6 linked regions of the Macaca fascicularis genome follow. The main gene of each other region encodes a partner of the protein of the gene in region 2 in a complex. Links are inferred from orthologs where the notes say so. Each region holds a gene or a part of one and is shown on either strand. Other genes may lie near its edges. The genes, in order: PLRG1, CWC22, CWC27, CRIPT, EIF4A3 and SNRNP40.

Region 1 (4,082 bases), on a different chromosome or scaffold from region 2:
CCACACCTAAGTCCTGCCAGCAGGGGCAAAAATAACACATTTTATTTTTCTATTTTTAAAATTCACACATACGTCTGACATTTCTGATAATACCATACTCACCTTGATTGGCAGGGTACTGTTTATGAACATATGAATCCGTTGCATTCTGAGGACCCTTCTCTTTAAGATTTTCTTTCAAAGTAGGCATATGCAACACAGGACCATACTCATTACGAAGCTTGATTGCCATCTTCCGTTTGTGACTATTTAGAAATTATAAACATAAGAACGTATCCATAAATACTTTAAAACAAACACTTAGACAGCTTAAGTTTGCCCAATCATGTAGGAAAAGTTTCTAGTAAGATTTTAAGTAGTATTTAAAAGAATCAAAAATTTCCAAGTGCATTTCCCCACCATATCTGTTCTTTTGCTCACATTCCACCACACAGCATTCATTAAACCTAAGTAATATTTTAGTTTGTTACCTAATAGAAAATATTTTATGATAAATTATCAAGGGTCTGCTTGAAAGATATATAGAAACTAACATACCCTTTAAGAAACCTCAAAGTCAATACGCTTTCCTTCAAAATATAAATATAGTAAAAACTCTACAGCAACCTTTACTAGATGTATCCAAACAGGTTAGTTAGAACTAAGAAAAGTACTTAATTGGTTCAATATTTTAAAAAGAAATGCACTTATATTACTTTTAAAAATAGTCTACTTTACAAATTAAATATAAATGCTTGTTTGAGGAGTTAAGTCGATTTTAAAAGGGTAAAGGACAAAGAAGGAACACTGCACATAATGCAATCCCAGACTGGAGCTGGATATGTAGAACCAAAAATATGCCACCACTCAAAAATCTTCATCATACTAACGAGAAAAGATGGGAGTAGAGGTACTGGCCAGGTACAATTTCAGCTCAGCAAGGCTCTGAGAGCAGCGGGAAGCTGAAAGCACATACAAAGTGATTGATTATAAAATAAAATACCTAAAAGGGACTCTCTTAATTACTGGGTATTTGTAAAATGCAATTAATTAATGGAACTTTTACTGTAAAAGGCCAAAAAAAAAAAAAGTTAAATCAGCTTAAATTATGCCAAAACACCACTCATTATTGAATTAGCCCATGAGTATTGCCAGTTTATCTTTAAAGGTCTCCCTCTTCCTGCTCTCTTCCCCCAGTATTAGAATGTTAAATATTTCAGCAATTGAAAAAAAAACTATACCAACCTCTCTTCATCTAAAGGCACAGGTTTTCCATTATCAGCTACAAACATGTCATGGGTCCTCTTCAATGACCTGAACACAAGTGTGTGTACAGAATGTTTCTGTACCTCCTTAAAAAAAAAAAAAAAAAAAAAAGTAATTACACACCTATCTACAAATTACACAAATCATAACCTAACGTCAGATTGATTATACACTTCACATGTTTAAATATGTAAAAAGCTTTATACCACTCACCATAGCTACTTGTTGCGAGCTACAGGAGTCAAGTTCAGAGAAGAGGAGGAAGCTCCTCTTTGGCTAGAACCTCAGGTATAGCAACTGAGTGATGCCATAGTTTAGTCATTTACTCAATAAATATTTACTGAGCTCCTACTGTGTGTCTGGCAGGTATCGTGCTAGAATCTCACAATAGAATGATAAAAGGTAGTCATGGTCCCTGTGCTCAAGAGGAAACAGACAAATAAAAAGTAAAATAATTCCACATTTTGATAAGTGCTATGAGGGCAACAAGCAAGGCACTGGGTCGGGAAACGAAGGACTAAGTATAATTGTGAAAGACTTCACTAAAGTGATATTTAAGCAGAAAGGGAGTTAGCCTTGCACAAAACAGAGATAAAAACGAACCAGGCTGATGGAAATGTCATGTAAAAAAATGTTCAGTTAACTGAAATAATACAAGAAGGGCGGCACAGCTGTATATGGTGGATGAGATGGTGCTTTGTGGTTGCAAGGGTAGACAAGGTCCAGATTAGGTAAGGTATTTTAGACTATTACAACAGCCTATGTTTTCTTCTAGCAACACAGTCAGTAAAGGGTTTTAAACAAGAAAGGTATGAACAACTTACATTTTAAACAGAACAACTTATGGAACAAAATGGAAGCAAGGAAATCAACGGGGGGCTAATGCACCAGGCCCGGTGAAAGATGATGTTGGTCTCAATTAAGGTGGACTGCAGTGGATACGGAGAAAAGTGAATGGAATCAATAAACATGTGGGGTAACATGGACAAGACCAGCTAACAGAATGGCTGGCTGTTCATGCCAGGGAAAGATGTAAAGAATGGCAAGTTTTTCTGGGAGTAGAGTTGAAATAAGAGACGACTTGAACGCAAGATAGAGAAGACCGCCAATCTTTTCGGGCACAGAATCACTGACACTGCCCCGAGGGCGGCGAGTACCAGTGGTCGAACACCAACAGAGGCCCCGCCTCCAAGGACAGTTTCCAGCTCCCAAGAGTCAAACGAGGACTGGACGAATTATCTCAGGCTTAGCGCCCGGACTGAACCTCCGACTCGGGTTCTCATCCGGCTTCTACCCCTTCCCCGAAAACCCGATGAAGAGACCACCCGGCCTTGGCCAAACAGCTTCCCTCGTAGCCTCTTTTCTCTCCGGACTCCAAGCACTCTCAATCCCCCAAGCCCACTGCCAAAGAAAAACAGTCCAGAGACAAACGACTCTTGAGAGTCCCAGTGTCACTTTACCTCGACCATGATGCTACCGCGTATCCCACCTCCGGCAGAGAAGAAACCCTAATCACTAACGCAGTACCCGCCGCCACAACTGTGCTGCACCTTCCGGAATTGGGAGGCCAGGCGGCGGATGTGATGCAAGCTCTGCGCACGCGCGCTAGTCTCCCCCGGCCCTCTGGGATCAAGAGGCGGGTCTCCCTCCTCAGGACCGCCCCTAGGGCGGAGGCTCGAGGCTGTAGAGGGGAGACACCTGGAAGCGCCTGACTGGAGGATTTCACTCGCTCCTCTGAAGAAGTCTTCGAATTATGTTTTCTGCCTTACCTTCAGCCTTCAATGTCTTGGCTGGGGCCCTGGTTGTTCATGCTGTATTCCCCGGAGTTTAATGCTTTTTATTCAGAGAGCCTAAGCTCTCTGGAGAGCAAACTCCCGTGGGCTCTATCTAAGGCGCTTCCGCTGCCTTGATCTCTTTGGAGGTCGCCTGCTTGCTTTCTGTCTCCTGGTTCCAATCCTGGCGAGAAGCACTTGGACACTTGTAGGCTTAACACCTGAAAACAATTTCGCTTAAACAGTTCAGTAAACACTTGCTGAGTGAATGTTGAGGAATGGCTGTTTTAATTTGGAAAATTTTGACATGTAGATATAAGAAAAACCCATATTCATTTTCTGCTAATAGATTTTTTTTTTTTTAACTTCTCAACGCTACATAGCTCTTGGACATTTCCTAGTTGTCTGCTGATTATTGTGGCTTCAACAATGCCAGGGTACAGCTTTTCAAAGCTGGTAGAAGAAAGACACAATTGGAGACTTTAGCCATTTTTATTTATACATATCCTTGTGCCAAGTATTGGTATTTTTGCTTCCTACCCTGGTAAAATCTCCGGTTTTGATCAACCCTACCTAATTATTTTTCTATGTAAAAAGAAAAATGGATGGACTTGGGCATTTGCAAACTTAAATAGACAAAACATTTTACTGGCCCTGTTTCAGTTTCACTGATCTGTCCTGACAGCGTACTGCATACACTTTGAGAGGGGGAAACAATCTAGCAAAAGAATAGCAGTGTAAATCAACGTCACTTGGAAATTCATTAAAAACATTAAGGTCATGGTTTTTTGTTTGTTTGAGAGGGAGTTTTGTTCTTGTCGCCCAGGCTGGAGGGCCATGGCGCAATCTTGGCTCACTGCAACCTCCTCCTCCTGGGTTCAAGCGAGTCTCCTGCCTCAGCCTCCGGAGTAGCTGGGATTACAGGCGCCCGCCACCACGCCCGGCTAATTTTTGTATTTTTAGTAGAGACGGGGTTTCACCATGTTGGCCAGGCTGGTCTTAAACTCCTGACCTCAGGTGATCTGCCCCTCTCGGCCTCCCAAAGTGCAGGAATTACAGGCATGG
Region 2 (3,500 bases):
TGAAGAGGAGACTGAGAGAGGAAGTGAGAAGAAGTGTGGAGCCACAGTGAGCAGGTGGTCAACTGCGTAAGTGAGGCACAGAAGTAAAGAGGCATGCGGCCTGAGAAAGACAACTGAATATGACAGGTGGTCACTGAGAAATCTGAAAAGATGATTTCAGTAGTGTCAATGGAGTAGAAGTCAATCTAAGTGGCAATCTGAATAAATAGGAAATAAGAAAGGTGAGAGAGGATTACATAATAGTCCTGAAATAAGGCTCTAGTTCCATGCAATAGACTTGAAAAATTATTAATAGATGAAATATATATTCAAAATTGTCCACTGATAATATTAGTTATCATTCTAAGGCTTAAAATTAGGGTAAAAAGAAAATAAAATTATAAATATCACTGGAGAATTCAAGTGAGCATACAAAAATAATTCTGTATTTTCTAAGAAAATTTAAAAAGGCATTAATTTGAACTCCATTTAAACTAAAAACCACCATTAAAAGTTGCACGTTGTCCTGTGAGACATAACATGAGATTCATAGTGATTAATGTCCTAGGGGGCTTAGTACTTGTTTTTACAATCTTGGATGGGCTTATATCTGCTACAATGAGAGAAAACCAGAGGTCAGTAAGAATAAAAAGTGCTTAATGGCAAACTTACTCATCCTTTAATCTTGCATTAAGTTTAGGAAGACCCATGTATTCACACAGTTCCTGGAAAAATATTTTGACAAAAATTCTACTGGATGATGTAGTGGTTTCTTCACTCAGTTTTATACATTCAAGAACCTGAAAATTAAAGTTTAAAAAGACAAGTATATTTAAATTTATAAAAGACAGGACAGAGTGACCAATATTTGTAGGTTTGTTTCTCAAAATTACTATTTATTCCCATCTTCAACCAGAGTTATCTCTGAATATCTCCCCTTAATGCTGATACAAAGTTTAAAACTTCTCTATACTAACTTTCAAAATGTTAAGATGCTACAGAAATAGATTTCATTCTCTGTTTTGAGTAATGTGCTTTTTATAGCAGGGAAGATATCCTCTCTTGAGCATATAATGGTAAAGATTACTAGCTCCTATACCTTACTCATCAAAATGTGGTGTATATGAGGGTTTGGGGCAAAATGCCACTTAGCACATTAGACTACAATTTTGTTTACCACACATATGATTAAAAAAAAAGACAAAGTATGATGGTTTATTCTGAATATTAAGACTGTGGCTTAAAAACTGAAATGCCTAAAGAAATATTTTTAGGGCAAATAAAAATAAAAGTAACCTCCAGTTTTTATGGGTTATGTGTTCGGGGGGCCCATTAGTTAATTGTTTAAAATTCTCATTTCATTTTCTCAAAGAGGGGAAAAAAGAAGTCAAAAATTATTACAATTAGTCTCCTAGGTTAGATTACAAATGCCTATTAATGCAGCTGGACATACTTGGTACTTAAAAGTACTATAAAAATCTAACCAATGTTTATAAGTTTGAGATATTGCTTCATTCTACCATTAGTACGATGGCATTCTACCATTAGTAGGATGGCATTCTACAAGATAATCCTGTTCTTTCCTCCTGCCTCCTGGATGTAATTTCTCCTCTCCTCTTCTCTTCTCTTTCTTTCTTTCTATTCCTTTAGCAATTTTGCTTTTCTTAGAATCTAAGACTTTTTATTTTGTATCATTGCTATGGGCATATCTTACTTCTGATCTTACACAGTAACCCTCCTGAAAGAAGGGGCCATGTATAATTCACTTTGAATACCCAGCACCTCTCTCAATGACTCAGTATATAAGTGGTGGCTAACTAACAGTGGTTGAATAACAGCTGTAAAATAAATGCCAACTTAATGAAAGCATTCTAAATTTCAATCCAGTGCACATTTCCCCATCAAGAATGTATCTTTCTTTCTTCTATGACTATAGGATATCCTCTCTATAGCTTACCCAACTTCAATGTCTGCTAAAAAGAACGAATCTTTCTAAGACAATCATTTTTCTTAAACCCAACAAGAGGATCCACGGAGAGTTATTCCCTTAGGAATCAAGGGAGAGTAATTCAGAGACACATTTACCACCAAAATAGTGGCATATGTGGATGTGAGTGTGCGTGCATGTGTGTGTACAAAGAGAACACGAAAATCTGCAGTATTTTTCCTGAAGACACTCCTAGCCATCATATTGAAACACTGGCATGTTTGGACAGTTAATATAATACAAAGACAGTATTTCTCGTGTATTACTTACCTAGCTTTCTGATTCCTTATTACATGAAGATAATCTTAAAGACAGCAGTTCTACACATTTCATTTTAAAGCACATTTCATAATAGGATAAATATAGCTAGCTTATACCAAAATCTATTTGAGAATAATAGGGAATTAGGAAGGAAGTATAAATATTGACCCATGTACTTACACTCCATGGAAGTGAATCGGTGTATAAAAGGTGAGCAAACATCTTAGCAACATTTCTCAATTTGTTTGTTTCCAGGCGATGGATGGTATCATACTGTTCTTTGAATATACTTTCAAAGGATTCCATGTACTCTTTCTTCAGCATGCAAAATCGCTAATAAATAAAAAATCAGTACCATTAAAAATTGAATGTTAATACAATTATGAGCATATTAAATCCTAAATTTACTGAATCAAAACTTAATATGTTTTATATTTTCAAAGAGCATATATCACTAAATCCTTTTGTGCCATTTGATGCTCAAAAAAGAAGTTAATATACATGGTTTATAATTATCTGAGATTTACATGTTAAAACAAAATCATACATATAGCTGATCACATGTGGGTAGAGCTTAAAGAAATATTGTAGATCATGCTTTAATTGAGCTGCCTGAACATGTACTTGACTTTAGAAACTGCTCTGAGATTTTGAAAAGACAGTATTTAATTGTTCTCTATTGGGAAATTGTTACAAAGCATGGAAAATTCCAAAAAGTTCTGGAAAAGTGATATGCAAAGTTAAAGGACTGCAGAAATGAAGCAGAAAAAGAGGAAGGTGAAGACAGCGGGAAACCTGAGGAAGGAGAGAATAATTTGCTTTTAGCAAAAATGGTAATATGTTGTTATATGAGGCCAGACCATAAAGCAGAAATAATTAATTTACAATATTTGTTTTAAGAATTCCCTTAGTAGATGCTGGAACTCACCCCAGCTAATAAGCCAAAAAATTTTTCATATGTCCTCTGTTGGGCACAGCAATCAAGTATCATGTTGCAGAGTTCTTTCTATTTGGGAAAAAAAAATACATTAATGATTCAAAACACAAAGAGACTAAATATTATATAATTTACTAGTATGATAGTGACTGCCTGCATTTTTAAATAAGGGTTTAAAACACTTCAAAAACTTTGTAAATAAAATAAAAACCTCAATCTATGTTAAACTCATAATTTTTTAAAGCCTTGGGTCCGGCTGACAGTCATTTATGCTTCCACAGTCATTATACTAATTATATTAATTATAAAATTCTAAATTCATGATAAGTATGAACC
Region 3 (4,131 bases), on a different chromosome or scaffold from region 2:
TTCTCTTAAAATTCCCAATTAATACTTTGATAATATCATGTTTCTTATAAATATATATGCAAATATACTTATAAAGCCATTTTGATTTTCAATACATTTAAAAACTAAGTGTGTACAACAATAAGACAGACCCCTATCATTTGAAAGCAACATTATGCTAAGTGAAGATGCCAGACACAATTTAGAATAAGTGATCATAATATGTGGAAATTTCATCTTCAGGGAATTACCTCTTATGCTTAAAAAATTTCTATCAAGTACTATATTTCTTTGCCTCATCTTCAGGGGCTAGGGTTACAGCAAAACACAGAACATTTATGGACAACCAGGGACCAAGCACTGGTATCATTATCAATTACTTCCCAAGCTGATACTAAGCACTTTGAAGGGAGGAATTTTGTCCCATTTACTCTGAATGTCTCTGTACCCTTTCAGTACCTAATGTACCATTAGATAGTAAAGGCAATAAACATTCATTGAACAGACTTATTACATTTGCTTCAAATTCTTTACACACCAAATTTTTGTCCACACTCTCAACCTTACAGAACTTAGAAGCTTTAATATCTTTGATGAGCCTTATGGTGGAAAAAGTCCCAAGTTGTTTTTGGATGAAAACTTGGGCCCTTGTGTTATCATTCAGCCCATTTCTGTTCAGAAGACAGTATTTATCACATTTTGTAGTTAAACATTTATTTGCATGATTATTCAGTCAATGTATACTTCACTCAATTAACTCATGATAACTCAGACAATGTGGTTTTTTTTGTTTCCGTTGTATCCCTAAAACCTAGCATAGAGCCTGGCAATTGATTTGCTCAATCATTATTTGTTGAATGAATAATCTATTCAGGAATATATCCTTGTTAAAGCTTTTCATCTATGTGACCATGTCAAATCTTCCTTTACAACAAAGCAATTAAGTCTGTCCTTGACCAGCAGCAGTGTAACCTCAAACTCACTGATGCTTAATATTCCTCAAAAAACTAAGAAAAATATAGTATTAATTCATCCATCCATTCGTTTATTCAATACATAACTGAACTCCTTCTATCATGTATCAAGTACTGTTCTAGATGCTTGTCTCTGCCCTGATGTTCCTTGCATTCTATAGGGGGAAGGTAGGAGGAAGGATACAGTAATACCAAATAATTAATAAATACCATGGAAAAAAACTAAAAAAGTTAAGGGGGCCAGAGAATGCTGGGATGCAAGGCATGATTGAAGTTTGCTATTTCATAGAAAGTAGGTAAGAAAGGACTCTTTGCTAAGGTCAACACTTGATTAAACAGAGGAACAGCAAGTGTGAACGCCCTGTCTGGCAGTATGGTAAATCTATTCAATCTCTACCAGTATTTATTAACTGGGGGTGATACTGCCCTCAAGAAACATTTGGAAATAGGAGGAGGTAGGTATTTTGGGTTTTCACATTGATATTAAATAAGATAGGTGAGGGGTGGGATGGACCCAGTAACCTACAATGCCCAGGAGAAGTTCAAAGAATTGAAAGAATTGAGCTGCCCAAAATACCCATTAAATTTTTGCTGGGAATTACAGCATTTTTGGTTTTGCTTTTAAATTGCTCTCATTATATTATCAAATGTCAATGAATAAAAGACTGCATAAATTATTTATGATGTAATCATGTAACGAACAGGATGGTATGTTGTGTAAATTTAGCTTATCTTAATTCAACTATATACTTTAAATCTCATTTTCTCCAATATGCTGATTCATCAAATTTCATATGAGATAGGCTAGGTCTCAATTTAAGAATTCAGGTGACAGTTATTCCACAACGGACTCTTCAACACAAACACCTTGGATGGGAATTGGCATACATTAGCCATCAAATCAATTAGAGAAACCTTTCCCCACTCTAATGTGGTAACAGTCCCCATTTCCCACTTTCTCTGACTGACAGTCATCTCAGGTTTTAAAATCAGCTCAAAAGATACCTTTTCCATGAGGTTTTTCCTAACTTTCCCAGTTGTTCACTACTCAGTACCGCCATAGCAACCTGGTCTCTTCTCCACAAGCACGCTTATCAGACATACAGGCTTTTGTTTACCTGTCTCACAAACTAAACTATAAGCTCTTCCGGGAAAACAACTACCTTACCCATCCATCTTTGTATCTCCGGCGCCTAGTACAGTGCCCAGTGCCTAGCAGGCGTTCAATTAATGATTGCAGAAGAAATGCAGAATGAATGACCTCAAAGTTAAGCAAAGAATATATCAAACTCAGAAATGTACGTTTAAAAACCTAAGACTCTAGAAATCGGTTGCATGAGCTGGCTTAAAGCAGAAAACAGGACCGGAATGCTGGTAGGTAGAGAAATCTCCACCTGACTTTTTCAAGTACGTCCTGAAAAGTATAAACTTCAGTGTTTCGACGCAACATTGTCCACATGCAGGAATAAAGACAACACTTATCGTGGTCTCTTCCTACCCCGAGATCCCGAAACCCGTCCCCCACCCCAAATTTGGGAAATCTCACTTTGGAGATCCCAGGACCCCAAGTTCCCTAGATGAGGCTCTCACCTTCCCATTCGTGGGAGGCTCCTGGATGTAGATGTTGCTCATCCTGGTCAGTACAAAGGACTCTGCTCCTTATGAGGGATTAGAGCGGACGGCCGGTCACTAAAGCTGTCCGCCTAGGAGTACACTCTTTCTTAAGTCGAGTGGTGCAGGAAAACTTCAGTTTGTCAATATCACGCAAGACGGGGACACCAAACACTACCCTTGCCTAAAGGAGCCCCTCACGGACGCCGCCATGTTGTTACCGGACCCGAGCACCGCTAACCCTGAGAAGGGTTATTCCAGTGTACTCCAGGGAACGAGAGAAGTCTGTAAAGTTATTATAGCTTAATGTAATTTGTATTACAATATTAGAAGGGACACTTCATAAGTCTTGGCTGTGTTTACACTACTCGCGTGTGCAGATCAAACTGACCCCCCCCAAAAAAAACTATCAGTAATGGTTCGGACCATGTGTCTTCTGCACTATGACTCGTCCGGAAACTGCATCCGCGTCTACTGGTTCTGCTGCCGCTAGAAACGTAAAGGGCCTTCCTCACCGTAGCGAAGGTGCTGCTGCGCTGGGGGAAGGAAAACGGCGCTTTGGCTGTGCCTTGTTCTCGCAGCTGGCGGGAAGCAAGCGCCACTTCGAAAGCCGGAGGCTCAAGTGACCCCTTACCATCGTCATGGCAGTCCCAGGTAAGGAGCAATTACAGGGCCTCTGCGTCCGAGATCCGAAGGGAGCACAAGGGAGGGTAGGGTAGGGTGCGGGGTGTGGGGATCAGTGCCTATGGGGACTTAGGCGGAGGCCTTAAAATTCACAGGTTTGTTTTGTTTACATGAAAAAGTTTACACTCCAAAGATACACTCTGAAGGAAAGAAAGTAACTGTCTTCCCCCAGGAGCCAAGCCCCAGCTGCATGGGATTACAGGGAAAGTGTATTGTGGAAGGGAGGGAGGAGGGGGAGACTGTAACTGTGGGCCTAAGGGGGCGAGCAGCCAAGAAAAACTACCTTAACTGTGGTATGGCTTAAAACTAAAATTTGAAGTGGGAACACTTGGCCGACCCAGGTAACCAGAGGCGTCGTCTGTCCTAGAAGTCGCTAGGACCCACCGGGTGTCCGGGTTCTACTCCTAGCTCTTCCTGTTGTATGTAGCTGCTCCGTGGCCATAGAGTGGTCGTTTTGTGCTTCTGGGCCTCAGTTTCCTTATAAAAAGAAGGAGCTTTGTTGAATTATATATAAGATTTATTCTAACTCTCAAATTCTGTGTCCAGAAGTTACTGACCTAAAAACGGTGAACTCTGCAGAATAATTACTTAAAAGATTTTCTCTCCTCAACTACCAGCTTACTTGGAAGTTCTAGTAGCTGAGAGCGTCTCCTCAAACTGGCTTTGCCACTGCAGAACAGTGGTTGCAGGAGACATTTTCAGAAATATACACTCCTACACCCCACCTCCCAACTTGGAAATTCACAGTGCGCCTTAGTAATAGAAAAGATTCTGAGAATTACTATGGTTCAGAGCCCTAACTTTGTTTAAACCTGCCCTTCCCAGTATTATTTGACCAGATTCTTTGTTCTGTGGCAGCCTTTTTGAACATCTTTCTGCAGAT
Region 4 (4,164 bases), on a different chromosome or scaffold from region 2:
TCCAAAGCTTACCATCTTTCCACATTTCCCTGCTGTCTCTGATTCATAGGATAATTAAGAAGGAGATAAAATACAAGTCATGTTTTCTGGTGAAACTGTAAGAGAATAACACTAATATCTTCATATATTGATACAGCCAAGGAGGAATAAGGTAAAACCAGCAGGATTGTAACAGATAGCTTGGTTCTGAGTGCTATGAACCACCTACCTTTATGTTTTATTGCAAATGGAATGATGCACATCAAATTCACTCCAGCAGACTTAATACTAAAAGAAAGGAAATTTATATGATCTGTCTATGGATGCTCTTACCCACCTTGCTTTTTTTGAAGTCAAAGCTTTATTTTCATTCAGCTTTCTCCCACCACTTTCTGTATCAGAATAAAAGATATTTTAGTGGGTTATTTCTATACATTTAACATAAAACATTAAGAAGTTCATTCTTTGACTTTCTACCAAAATAGTAGTCTGTATCTAATTTTTAAATCCTCATTTAGTAGGCTATTAAGACACTGCTTAAAAAGAAAACATTTATTAGGGAAACAGTAAAAATTTGTATAAAATACAATCATTTTATTTCTCAGACTCAAGGGAGTACTTTAGGAATGGGTCTATATTTACTCTATATAGTGTAAAATCTAGAAGCCACTACTTCAGTGTCATAGACCTTCAATATAATGAAAATGTTTATTTGTCTACGCTTTGAAAACATACTTTACTATATGTATTTAATAATAATGAAGGTAAATACTTCATTATAAAGATTTAATGATAATGAAGGTAAAATGGGTTAAAGCATTTATTTATTCAAGAATATAAAAATCAGAAGATTTAAAAAAATTTCTCCTCAGAAGAGTGGGGAAATTAAAAACAGACTCTAAATAAGCTGAATCAAATCAAATATTGTGATAATCAAATACTGTGATATTGTCACCACTTGACAATCATTTAATAATTTTGCTATCTCCTGATATTGGGAACCCATACAAGTAACTGAGAACTAAATAAAAGATATTAAATCACTTGGGGACCCAGTATTCTTTAATATTTAATAGATAAAATACTTTGAACATACAACATTTCATTGTACAAATAATGTAAAAGCTAAAATATAATTCACAGTAAGTATTTGGTTAAATTCCTATTTTCTAAAAGAAGAAATACCTGTGGTATTCCTAGCACCATCTTTCCATGTATCTGGAGTGATAACAGTACCAAGTTTCTTTTCACCTGTTAGAACAAGATAGTAAAAGGAAAATTAAAATTTACTATTTCATAAGTGCATTACATTGTGCCTAAGGCTCACAATGGTATCGACTATCAATGCTATTACCATAGGAGCCTGTTAATGCTGAGAAAGCAGCCAGTCAACTGAGACTCATATTAACTGTGGGCAATGAATGACTGACCGTCGGTAAAATTCGCAGGATAATAAGATGGCTTATAATAAGCTTTCACTGTTTGTTTATACTTTTAAAAAATCCAATAAGTCTATTTGTTCCATAAATATTTACTAAGCATCTATGATGTATAAACTATAGAAAGTGCTGAGAAAAAGTGATGAATCAGACAAAATTTTAATGAGATTATAGTATACTAATTTCTTTAACAGCAATCTGTAACCTGGGTTCCCCAGGTGGATCTTAAGAGATATGTGAACAAGGTGGAGTTGTACACAAACCTTTTATATTTTCAGTTTTTTTTCCTGGCAAGAGGCTACAGTTTTCATCAGATTCTCAGAGGGATCACAGACCGTCTCCCCAAAAAGAACCATTCAACCAAAATGTAAGCTAAAAAATAAAAGATATAATAATTGAGAACTAAAGTACTAGGAGAAATTCCAGGCAGGAAAAAATAACCCTGGCTAAGGAAATCCAAGAAAACAAAGTTTGGAGAGAAGGCAAGAGAGAGGATTTGAATATGTGGCAACAGGACTGTGAACAAAAAGGAGTAAAGAGGATGAACGCAAACTAGATAAAGGACACATTCTGAGGAAAGGCATAGAAAGCTTAGAGTACACATGGGCACAAAGAGTATTTTGTTTGGTCAAAGTGTGAAGAGGATGAGGGTCAGTGAAAATGAAGCTGGAAAAATAAGTTAGCGCCTTAGTGTGGAGGGTACTGAACGTCAGGTTCCAAATATAGAATCCCCAAATTATTCTCTGCACACTGAGAGTTTATTAAAGGATTTAAATTAGGGAAATAATAATTTGCACTTACGTTGATGTTCAATTCAAACATCTCTGGGTTTACTCTACGCCATATCCTGGCATAATGACTAATGAGAATGAATAAGGCAAAGTCCTAAGTCTTTGGTTCCAGTGTCTAACATTTGGCAGGAGTACAATACTTGTTACACGAATAAAAAGGAAAGGACAGGAATTGCCAAGAGGGAAAGGTGTCGCTGGGGTTTAACTGAACATTTTTATATGGGAGGGGAGCCGATGAGATCTGGGGCTGGGGGAAGGCAATGGAAATAGAGAGGGAGGTGCAGAACTGAGACCATTCTGAGTACAAAATACATAGGACTGTATGGTCGTTGGGGAGGTGCAAAAATGGTCAAAGGGTAGGGTAGAAAGACAGCGGCTAGAATCAGAGACCTGTGGGCGAAAAAAACAAAGAGAAGGCAAAGTTCCCGGGAGGGCTCAGTTAGATTATCCCAGCCTCCTCCTCCCGCAGAAGCAGCCCCTTAACTCACATTTTTCGCACACCATCCTTCCCCACGACAGTTCCCCTAGCCGCAACAGGAGCAGCAGGAGCCTGAAAACATCAACACTGTAACTGGGAAGTATTCCCCTTCCGGGCTACGTCAATCCACTTCCGGCTTCTAAGCCCACCGCTCCCGCCTACCCCAAACCTGGAAAGCCGCGGGAGGAATGAACGCGAGCGGCTAGGTGGGGCTGCCCCATTTGCCCGCCCCTCCCTTTCTGCGACTGGCTGTTCGGCCGTGGGTGTCCGCCCCACAACCCTGCGTCTGCGCGTGGGCCTGGGCCTCCTGTCGTACCTGATGGTGGGAGGCAGTAGTTCCCCGCTTCCCTTCCGCGGGCGGGAAAGTTAGGTAAGCCTCGCTGGACTTCCCAGGCGCTCTCGCCTCCCGGGGTGCAAGTCACCCCCGCGAATTGCCGAAGCAGCCCTGAGCCTCGGCGCCCCGGCCCGCCAGCTCTCGCCGTCAGCTCGAGCGCCACTCTTCCGGCGTGCCCTGATGGACAGACCCCCTTTCGGATCCGAGTTTTTGCCTCTGTCCCCCAGTTTTTCTTTGTCTCCAACTCCCGAGCTCTTTGATCCTGCTTCTCAGCTGGTTCCTCGCTGCCCACGCTCGCGCCGGCCTAGGGTCGGGCAGAATTCCCAGCGACCAGGGTTGGGGTGGAGCTGCCGGTGGAGGTGCGGCGATGCCCGTGAAGGCTCCTCTGGGGGCCGCTCTGAAGAGCCTTCTCTCCGCTGCGGTGCCTGGGGAAGGTGGGCCGCGTCATGCCCGTGGCACCCCTGCAGGCGCCCTGGGGGCACGCCAGGGCCTAACACGGTGCTGGTTTCCCAGGAGAGTTGGTTTCCCACTTTGCCTACTCTGGTTCCTTCATTCACTCAGCAAACGGTTGAGTTTGGTAACTGCTCACTGTATTACATCCACATCTGATGGCAGCTGCGATTCCGAGGGTGGCTCAGAAAAATGGCTGAAGGGCTATCTGTTGAGAGAATGGATTCCTGATCCCCTTGCCCTCCCTCAATCAGCTTAAGAGAATCTATGGGAAAGTTTACCATTGTCCCTTCTTGCCATCCGTTTGCTTCTTCATGCCTAGTGTATTTCCTTATACCAGAGAGAGAGCTGTAGCGCGTGGGACCTTGGACCACCTCACCTGTTTGCCTTGTTTCCTTATCAGTAAAATATCTGCCTTTGAAAAGCACTGGGTGAATTAAATGAGAGCTATTAGGATAAGGCCCAGGTTCGCCCTTCTGCTTTTCACACTAGCGGGCGCCCCTCCGCGCGCGCGCGCGCCCACGTGTGTGTGTGTGTGTGTGTGTGTGTGTGTGTGTGTAGTATTTTTTTCTGAGATATTTCTATTTTCTGGAATATTCTCCATAGTGTAACATATTGACTGTTACTTTAAATTAATAAAGTCCTTGTTTAACAGTACAATTAACTCTCAGGTAATTTAAATACGTGTATTGT
Region 5 (4,154 bases), on a different chromosome or scaffold from region 2:
ACTTTTCCCACAGTTAAAAACATGATTCTCAACAGCGTGAACTGCCCTTCAAAGATGATGGAGCTGCTTCAAAGTGCATTAGAGGAGCTGGGTATGTAGAAGCACTTCAAGTGTCAGATAAGAAAGTGGTTAGGACTGTGCGTAGCAGCGGCACCTGTGGTCCCAGGTACTCTGGAGGCTGAGGCGGGAGGATCGCCTGGGCTTGGGAGGTGGAGGCTGCAGTGAACGGAGATCGTGCCATAGCACTCCAACCTGGGCGACAGAGCCAGGCTCTGTCTCAAAACAAATGAACTAAAAGCAGGTTAAGATGCGCAACTGGTTACCGTTCTGCTGGGCAATTACATGATCCCGTCTGGGTTATCTTTGCTGCAGGACACGCATTATTAACACCGTCTAGACAGGAGGCTTTCATTAAGAGTAAATTGCAGGCTCTGCGTGTATTTTACTTTATAACAGCTGCTTGCCGGGCACAGTGGCTCATGTCTGTAATCCCAGCACCTTGGGAGGCCAGGGCGGGCGGATCACCTGAGGTTCAGGAGTTCAAGACCAGCTTGGACAACCCTAACCCCCACCCTTCCCCCAACACCGTCTCTACAAAAAATTTAAAAAAATTAGTCGGACATCATGGCGCGCGCCTGAGGTCCCAGCTACTCTAGAGGCGGAGGCAACAGTGAGCCCTGATCCCACCGCCGCACTCCAGCCTGGGCGACAAAGAGAGACCCTGTCTCCAACTGACCAGGCAAACGGCGAAAACACACACAGGCGCGTCCCCAAAGACACCGGCATTAGAGGCCCTGGCCCTCCCCAGCGCAGACCCGCCCGAGCCCAGCGCCGCGCCGGCGCCCACCACCGGGGGCCGTGAGGGTTTCCACCCGAATCTCCCCGGCGAGCTGGGCGCCCCCACTACGGGTCCGCGACGCAGTCCACCCAATGCGGGCCCGAGAGAGGACCCGTGTTCGTCCTCTTCATTCGAGGCGGGGCTGTGTGGCGACGCCACCCGGACTGGAGGCCCCTGGCGGCCCCCAGCCTGTTGTCAGGGGATTCAGGGCCGCACGCCGCTCAAAGAGCCTTAGCGTCCCAAACTGCCGCAACCGCCACAAAACGCCACCAACTCTGGAAATCCACCCGCTTCCGTACCTTTTATAAGGAACTGGGTGCCCCGCCCTCAACGAGATCCCGCGAGAACTGCATATGGCGCGAGAGCAGAAACATCTTACTTTTTCCTGCGGCAAACGCCCAGTTCCCTTTCAAGTGACGAAGAGTGCCCCGCCCCAGAGGCGGGGTCGCCTCGCGCGCACGTACGCACGCACATACGCACGTACGCACGTCTTACGCTTTCTCACGCTAAGGCGTCAGTTCTCGGCCCCGGCAGCGAGAAGAGTCGGGAGGTGGTTTACGCTGTGGCGCGCGCTGTGCTCTTCCGCGGACTCTAAATCATGGCGACCACGGCCACGATGGCGACCTCGGGCTCGGCGCGAAAGCGTCTGCTCAAAGAGGAAGACATGACCAAAGTGGAATTCGAGACCAGCGAGGAGGTGGATGTGACCCCCACGTTCGACACCATGGGCCTGCGGGAGGACCTACTGCGGGGCATCTACGCTTACGGTGAGTGGGCGCGGGCCGCGGGGGCCAGCTGGCGGCGAGCCGGGGGCTGAGAGCCCGACTGGTGACTCCCGGGCCGGCCCTGCACTCCGGAGGTCGTGGTCAGGGTCGAGGCTCGGGGGCCAGTGACGTGCGCCCCCCCCCCCACCCCTGCCCTCACGCCTGGCTGTGTCGGCGCGTTCGCTGTGTGTCCCCTGTGCAGAGCTCGGCGCTGGGTCCGTCGGGGGCTACAGCCGCTTCGAGGCACCTCGGAGTCGTTCATTCAGCAGATAACTGTTTTGTACCTACTAACTTTTCTAGTTACTGGGGTTTTGGCGGTAAACCAGATGGGTTTGCGCCTTTACGGGTTTTGAATTTCCTTTGGGGGGACAGCATGCGGTCAGATTGCCCAGGCAGTGGTTGTTGCTGGGAAGAACCCGAAGCTAGGTAATTGAATAGAGTGGGCCTGGGAAGGAGGAGATAATTAGTAAAGCAGAGAGGTAAGGGGGTTCGCAGGAGGGGTTGCCATTTGAGCAGAGGTATGGATGAAGGAGACTTTTAGGAGAGGAGGGAAGAGCAGTTGGGGCAGAAGGAACAGCTGGTGCCAGGGCTTTGCAGCCCTTAGCCAGCTGCATTCCAGGAACTGAAAGAAGTCCCCTGTGGTGGGATTTTGGAGAGCTAGTCAGGGGCCAGATTTAGCAAAGACGTGTAGGGGTGACGAATAATTTGAATTTCATTTGGAAATCTAGTGGGAAGCCACTGGAATGTAGTAAGTAGCTATGTGACACGATCACATTTACAGCTTTAAAGATTCTTCTGGGTGTCTGTGAATTTCAGGTGAGGCGAGGCAGGGCAGGAGAGGAAACAGAAGAGTTGGGAAGCTTTTGCTCCAGTTAAGGGAAGAGAGGATTGTGCTGCCTTGGAGATGGAGTGCCAGGGAACTGACAGCATTGGCTGATGGATTGACTGTGAGTGACAGGAGGAGGAGGGTTGGTGTTTTGAGTAACCAGTGGTTGATGCTGCAAACATGTGGCTAGGTAGGCAGCACTCCAGAGAGTCAGAATCAGGAGTTGTCTCTTGGTATGTTTGAAAGATCTGTGGAAGTTGAGAGAGAGCCTGGAGAAGAGATTGGGTTGGGCACATAGATGGGAATGGCCAGCATCTGGGGTAAATGGCCTGTGTTTAATGCTTGGGACAGGGACATTTTTTATCCTGTAGTTCTCTTTTCTTTCTTTCTGACAGTCCTGCTCTGTCACCAAGGCTGGACTGTAGTGGCATGATCTCGGCTCACTGCAACTTCTGCCTCTGGGGCTCAAGCGATTCCTTTGCCTCAGCCTCCCAAGTAGCCGACCACCATGCCCTACTAGTTTTTGTATTTTTAGTAGGGATGGGATTTTGCCATCTTGCCCAGGCTGGTCTTGAACTCCTGACCTCAGTGGTCTGCCAGCCTCAGCCTCCCAAAGTGATGGGATTACAGGTGTGAGCCACCCCACCTGATCTTATCCTGTAATTCTTGATGCCACAACAGTTTGGACAAAGTGAGGCGAAGGTGCTGAGGATGGGTGGTGAGAAAGCATCTCAGCCAGCCTTCCAGCGAGGCTGACAGCCCCACCTGGTTTCCTGGCACTCAGGCGGTCCCTGCCCTAAGACACTGTTGTTAGTTTCCCATCCATGTGCTTGCTCTTCCTGAAGAGTTTAAATCATCTGCTATATTTGCTTTTGTGTTAAGATGGGAAATTGTGCTACATTTTCTTTTGTTTCTCATTTTTCGCTATGCCCCAGAACTGAACAGAGCTACATTTAAGAGACTACCAAAAAATAACTGAACTAGAGTTTTGTACATAAAGTTTTATTTACTTACTTGAAAAACACATGGTTCTTCTTCAAAATAGCCTCCCCCTTTGGTGTAGTAGTTGCTTTGCAGGAGAGATGGTATGGTAGTTAGTGAGCTGCATCCAGACAGGAGAACAGCGTAGGACACCCCACAGTGTGACCCAAGCAGGTTAAATAGAATTGTAGACCTGTCAGCAACACACAGACTTAATGCTAGCTAGGAGGAGAGAAGAATGGCTACAGTGACTTTCCTGGTTTTTTTTGTTTTTGTTTTTAATTTAAAAAGTAGTATAGGCCGGGCGCGGTGGCTCAAGCCTGTAATCCCAGCACTTTGGGAGGCCGAGACGGGCGGATCACGAGGTCAGGAGATCGAGACCATCCTGGCTAACACGGTGAAACCCCGTCTCTACTAAAAAAATACAAAAAACTAGCCGGGCGCGGTGGCGGGCGCCTGTAGTCCCAACTACTCGGGAGGCTGAGGCAGGAGAATGGCGTGAACCCGGGAGGCGGAGCTTGCAGTGAGCTGAGATCCGGCCACTGCACTCCAGCCTGGGCGGCAGAGCGAGACTCCGTCTCAAAAAAAAAAAAAAAAAAAAAAGTAGTATAGGTTGTTTGTAATCCAGTCAAACCTAAGGAAGTAATTAGAGTAAAAAGTTAGCTGCTTTTCACCCCTCTACTGCAGTAACTGCCAGGAACATTTTGGCACTTATACTTCCAGATGCTGCACACCCAGAAGATTA
Region 6 (3,500 bases), on a different chromosome or scaffold from region 2:
GCTGGGATTACAGGTGTGAGCTGTCACACCTGGCCTGTTTAGTGAATTTTTGAACTAATTTTGTAAAGTTTGTATTCTTTGTCCTGTGTTACCACTGAATTCTTTTTTTTTGTTAGCTTAGTGGTCAGCTAGTGAATGACAGAAGTTTCCTAAATTACCTACAACAACAAGAACAAAAGCTCTCCCAGTCTTTGCAGATTGTCTTTTGGTATGTTGGAGCCTGCCTTCAACTCCTTGCTGTGCAGTTTACATCTCTCCTTAGCTTTCACTTCCTGCTTGTGCAGAGCCTGAAGGTCAACCAGAGAGCTTATGGCCTTCTCAGATCTTTTCTAAGTATGTGCCCAGCCCTGGACATGCAAGTGGTCTAGATTGCCAGGGATGGGCCAGGCATGGTGGCTCATGCCTGTAATCTTAGCACTTTGGGAGGGCGAGGCAGACAGATCACTTGAGGCCAGGAGTGTGAGACCAGCCTGGTCAACATGGCGAAACCCTGTCTCTACTAAAAATACAAAAATTAGCTGGGTATAGTGGCACGCGCCTATAATCCCACCTACTCGGGAGGCTGAGACAGGAGAATTGCTTGAGCCTGTGAGGTGGAGGTTGCAGTGAGCCGAGATCGCACCACTGCACTCCGGCCTGGGTGACAGAGGGAGACTCTGTAGGTAGGTAGGTAGGTAGGTAGATAGATAGATAGATAGGTAGGTAGGTAGGTAGGTAGGTAGGTAGGTAGGTAGGTAGGTAGATAGATAGATAGATAGATAGATAGATAGATAGATAGATAGATAGATAAGATAAGATAGATAGATAAGATAGATAGCCAGGAATATGTCAGTGCTTTTCAAAACTCTTACTCCCCAAATTGTCTCCTTCCCCAGCCCTTCCTCCCAAGGTTTTTGGTTTGTATTTTTGCCCCAACTGTTTTTCCTTGCCCCCAGGCACCAGAGGCTAATAATATCCTTTCCTTTAAATGTTTTCTTTTTTTTTTTTTTTTTTTTTTTTTTTTTTTGAGACGGAGTCTTGCTCTGTCACCCAGGCTGGAGTGCTGTGGCCGGATCTCAGCTCACTGCAAGCTCCGCCTCCCGGGTTCCCGCCATTCTCCTGCCTCAGCCTCCCGAGTAGCTGGGACTACAGGCGCCCGCCACCTCGCCCGGCTAGTTTTTTTTTTTTTTTTTTTTTTTTGTATTTTTTAGTAGAGATGGGGTTTCACCGTGTTAGTCAGGATGGTCTCGATCTCCTGACCTCGTGATCCGCCCGTCTCGGCCTCCCAAAGTGCTGGGATTACAGGCTTGAGCCACCGCGCCCGGCCTAAATGTTTTCAAGGAAAGTTCCAAGTTAGACAAAATAAATGTAAGTCCTGGCCGGGCGCGGTGGCTCACGCCTGTAATCCCAGCACTTTGGGAGGCCGAGACAGGCGGATCACGAGGTCTGGAGATCGAGACCATCTTGGCTAACACGGTGAAACCCCGTCTCTACTAAAAGTACAAAAAACCAGCCGGGCGAGGTGGCGGGTGCCTGTAGTCCCAGCTACTCGGGAGGCTGAGGCAGGAGAATGGCGTAAACCCAGGAGGCGGAGCTTGTAGTGAGCCGAGTTGGCGCCACTGCACTCCAGCCTGGGCGACAGAGCAAAGACTCCGTCTCAAAAAAATAAATAAATAAATAAATAAATGTAAGTCCTTTGAGCTTATCCTTCAGGGAGCCACCAGACAAGTAAAAATAAACAATTTTTATTGTTTATTCTTTGACAATAAGAAATAGGCCCCCCTTTGCTTCCTCAGTACTAGGAAACCATACTGGGAATATGGGTTATCTTCAAAGCTGTTGCTGAGCGGGAGACAGAGCCAGCACAAGTTAAAACACTACAAAACCCTTTTACTGGGACTCAGGGGTTTTTTTGTTTCCTTTTTCCTCATTAAGGGTTTGCCTGGTTACTATAAACTTTTGATTAGTTATGAGAGTTCCGACAGTTGATTCTGACAGGTTTTTGCTGGTTCATTTGTTGTTTTGTGGAAGGACAAGCTTTTGTCATTGTTTATTATACTATTTTCACTGACGTACCCGCTCTCTATTTTTTTAAATGTGGGTTGCAGCCCACTAATGAATTAGTATCTACAGTTTGAAAAAATTGTCTGATATCCTTGTTGTCCTAAAAAATATATGAACCAAGTAATTAGTGGAATTCCATTCTAAGAGTATGTTGATTTAACTCTGTTTATTCACTTTAACAAAGAAGTCTGAAAATATAACTGAAGTTTTGTTTCACCAGCCTTCAAATGTCTTAGCAAAATTGAGGACACTGCTTACCATGTGTGTTATTAGGATATCCAGGAGTTAGTGAAATGGGATCCCAATTATAGATGTGTTCATGTTCACAAAGTCCTTGTACTTAGGGATATTTGTACTGTGCAGTTACTTCTTAGAATGATATTAATGATAGACCCTGTTGTCCTTTGCTTCAGCTTTGGGACATCCGGAAGAAAGCAGCCATCCAGACATTTCAGAACACGTACCAGGTGTTAGCTGTGACCTTCAATGACACAAGTGATCAGATTATTTCTGGTGGAATAGACAATGATATCAAGGTATGTTTGATGTTTATGATATATTTCCATTTCACCCATCTGCACTTAGAAACAAATTTTTTCAAACTTCTGAAATTGTGGTAGCTTTGCACTTAATACCAACTGAAAGGAAAATAGTAATTTGGAACTTATTTTCTTTTTCTCCTGTCTTCATTGACTTCCTAAATTAAAGGTTGCACTGCAGATCTTATAAATGCTGTCAGGGACCAGGCACTTAATGTGAAGTGTGAAGTCTCTGTAGGGGGACTATGTAAAAAATAAAGAGTGCATTTCCTTTTAAAGACATTCAGAATCTTTTTTTAACCATCTTAGTTTAATGGGAGCAGTGAATCAGTTTGTGATTCTGTATCCTCATCTCTCACTGTGTTTTTCTTTTTGACACTATGGAAAGGGAGTTTTCTAAGTTTCTCTAAGAATGAGAGAAGGTAATGATATTAAAGAGGCAATAGACCATATGGCAGTACAGTGTAGCTCAAACTTTCAAGTAATTGACTTGAGTTCTAATCCCAGTTTCACCATTTTCTAGTTTTGTGACTTCAACACCTTCTTTAAGCCTCTTTTTCTTGTGTGAATGCTGAGGGGGTAGTGATAACAAAAACTACCACATGGCATCTACCACATACCATTGTAGCGATTAAATGAGCCTGATTAGAGCACTTAGCAGAATTCCTGGACATAACAAGTGCCAGGAAATGTGTTATTTTGGTCCTGCACGGCTTCTGTCTTCCTTTCCTATTGGCTTCCTTGGGGATCTTAACGACTTTGACCTTACCTTCTGCTTTATAGTGAGAATAGTAACTGTCAGATAAATACTCAACTTTCTGTGTTGTCCTTTCCTAGAAGTTGTACTGTATTTCCATCCCTCGTTGTTTCCTTTGCTGTTACTTTGGATGAAATATCCTTGCTTTTGGCCAGGTGCGG

The links.
Region 1: CWC22 (region 2) and PLRG1 share a complex: the UniProt entries of both Homo sapiens proteins name them as parts of the minor spliceosome. The link is inferred for Macaca fascicularis from reciprocal best matches to the Homo sapiens genes CWC22 and PLRG1.
Region 3: the proteins of CWC22 (region 2) and CWC27 are in contact, whole or in part, in a crystal structure (PDB 6YVH), measured with the Homo sapiens proteins. The link is inferred for Macaca fascicularis from reciprocal best matches to the Homo sapiens genes CWC22 and CWC27. Residues at the interface, in NP_001362958.1 of Homo sapiens: Leu239, Arg242, Lys243, Tyr245, Arg246, Asn248, Asp249, Lys250, His270, Glu271, Val272, Leu275, Glu276, Thr279, Leu280, Leu281, Glu283, Arg284, Thr286, Asp288, Ser289, Val292, Val307, Ser308, Pro309, Arg310, Gly311, Thr367, Met369, Leu372; in NP_005860.2 of Homo sapiens: Arg381, Glu382, Asp383, Gln384, Thr385, Leu386, Leu388, Leu389, Phe392, Lys393, Lys395, Leu396, Thr397, Ile400, Glu412, Asp415, Asp416, Glu417, Gly418, Trp419, Met420, Ser421, His422, Val423, Leu424, Gln425, Phe426.
Region 4: CWC22 (region 2) and CRIPT share a complex: the UniProt entries of both Homo sapiens proteins name them as parts of the minor spliceosome. The link is inferred for Macaca fascicularis from reciprocal best matches to the Homo sapiens genes CWC22 and CRIPT.
Region 5: the proteins of CWC22 (region 2) and EIF4A3 are in contact, whole or in part, in a crystal structure (PDB 4C9B), measured with the Homo sapiens proteins. The link is inferred for Macaca fascicularis from reciprocal best matches to the Homo sapiens genes CWC22 and EIF4A3. Residues at the interface, in NP_001362958.1 of Homo sapiens: Thr129, Gly130, Gly131, Ala132, Tyr133, Pro135, Pro136, Ala137, Lys138, Arg140, Lys164, Asn167, Gly168, Ile170, Asn171, Lys172, Val173, Asn174, Ser176, Asn177, Ile180, Ile181, Glu184, Ala207, Ser208, Ile210, Phe211, Tyr215, Lys330, Arg331; in NP_055555.1 of Homo sapiens: Met43, Gly44, Ile72, Ile73, Lys74, Gly75, Gln98, Cys99, Met183, Gln213, Val256, Ala257, Glu259, Trp263, Asp266, Thr267, Asp270, Leu271, Tyr272, Asp273, Thr274, Leu275, Thr276, Ile277, Thr278, Gln279, Ala300, Asn301, Phe302, Thr303.
Region 6: CWC22 (region 2) and SNRNP40 share a complex: the UniProt entries of both Homo sapiens proteins name them as parts of the minor spliceosome. The link is inferred for Macaca fascicularis from reciprocal best matches to the Homo sapiens genes CWC22 and SNRNP40.

What each region holds. Positions count from the first base shown.
Region 1 is NC_088379.1:159,465,751-159,469,832, forward strand, and holds the start of PLRG1 (pleiotropic regulator 1), read right to left. Parts: upstream 2,801-4,082; 5' UTR 2,715-2,800; coding exon 2,706-2,714; intron 1,332-2,705; coding exon 1,225-1,331; intron 942-1,224; exon of another isoform or gene 870-941; intron 246-869; coding exon 103-245; intron 1-102. UniProt on the Homo sapiens protein: Involved in pre-mRNA splicing as component of the spliceosome. Component of the PRP19-CDC5L complex that forms an integral part of the spliceosome and is required for activating pre-mRNA splicing.
Region 2 is NC_088386.1:75,511,567-75,515,066, forward strand, and holds part of CWC22 (pre-mRNA-splicing factor CWC22 homolog), read right to left. Parts: intron 3,234-3,500; coding exon 3,156-3,233; intron 2,561-3,155; coding exon 2,408-2,560; intron 780-2,407; coding exon 652-779; intron 1-651. UniProt on the Homo sapiens protein: Required for pre-mRNA splicing as component of the spliceosome. As a component of the minor spliceosome, involved in the splicing of U12-type introns in pre-mRNAs. Promotes exon-junction complex (EJC) assembly.
Region 3 is NC_088380.1:70,438,320-70,442,450, reverse strand, and holds the start of CWC27 (spliceosome-associated protein CWC27 homolog), read right to left. Parts: upstream 2,801-4,131; 5' UTR 2,586-2,800; coding exon 2,544-2,585; intron 1-2,543. UniProt on the Homo sapiens protein: As part of the spliceosome, plays a role in pre-mRNA splicing. Probable inactive PPIase with no peptidyl-prolyl cis-trans isomerase activity. As a component of the minor spliceosome, involved in the splicing of U12-type introns in pre-mRNAs.
Region 4 is NC_088387.1:75,424,960-75,429,123, forward strand, and holds the start of CRIPT (cysteine-rich PDZ-binding protein), read right to left. Parts: upstream 2,801-4,164; 5' UTR 2,714-2,800; coding exon 2,698-2,713; intron 1,231-2,697; coding exon 1,165-1,230; intron 372-1,164; coding exon 317-371; intron 1-316. UniProt on the Homo sapiens protein: As a component of the minor spliceosome, involved in the splicing of U12-type introns in pre-mRNAs. Involved in the cytoskeletal anchoring of DLG4 in excitatory synapses.
Region 5 is NC_088390.1:86,553,680-86,557,833, reverse strand, and holds the start of EIF4A3 (eukaryotic initiation factor 4A-III), read left to right. Parts: upstream 1-1,354; 5' UTR 1,355-1,436; coding exon 1,437-1,605; intron 1,606-4,154. UniProt on the Homo sapiens protein: ATP-dependent RNA helicase. Involved in pre-mRNA splicing as component of the spliceosome. Core component of the splicing-dependent multiprotein exon junction complex (EJC) deposited at splice junctions on mRNAs.
Region 6 is NC_088375.1:203,728,177-203,731,676, forward strand, and holds part of SNRNP40 (U5 small nuclear ribonucleoprotein 40 kDa protein), read left to right. Parts: intron 1-2,456; coding exon 2,457-2,579; intron 2,580-3,500. UniProt on the Homo sapiens protein: Required for pre-mRNA splicing as component of the activated spliceosome. Component of the U5 small nuclear ribonucleoprotein (snRNP) complex and the U4/U6-U5 tri-snRNP complex, building blocks of the spliceosome.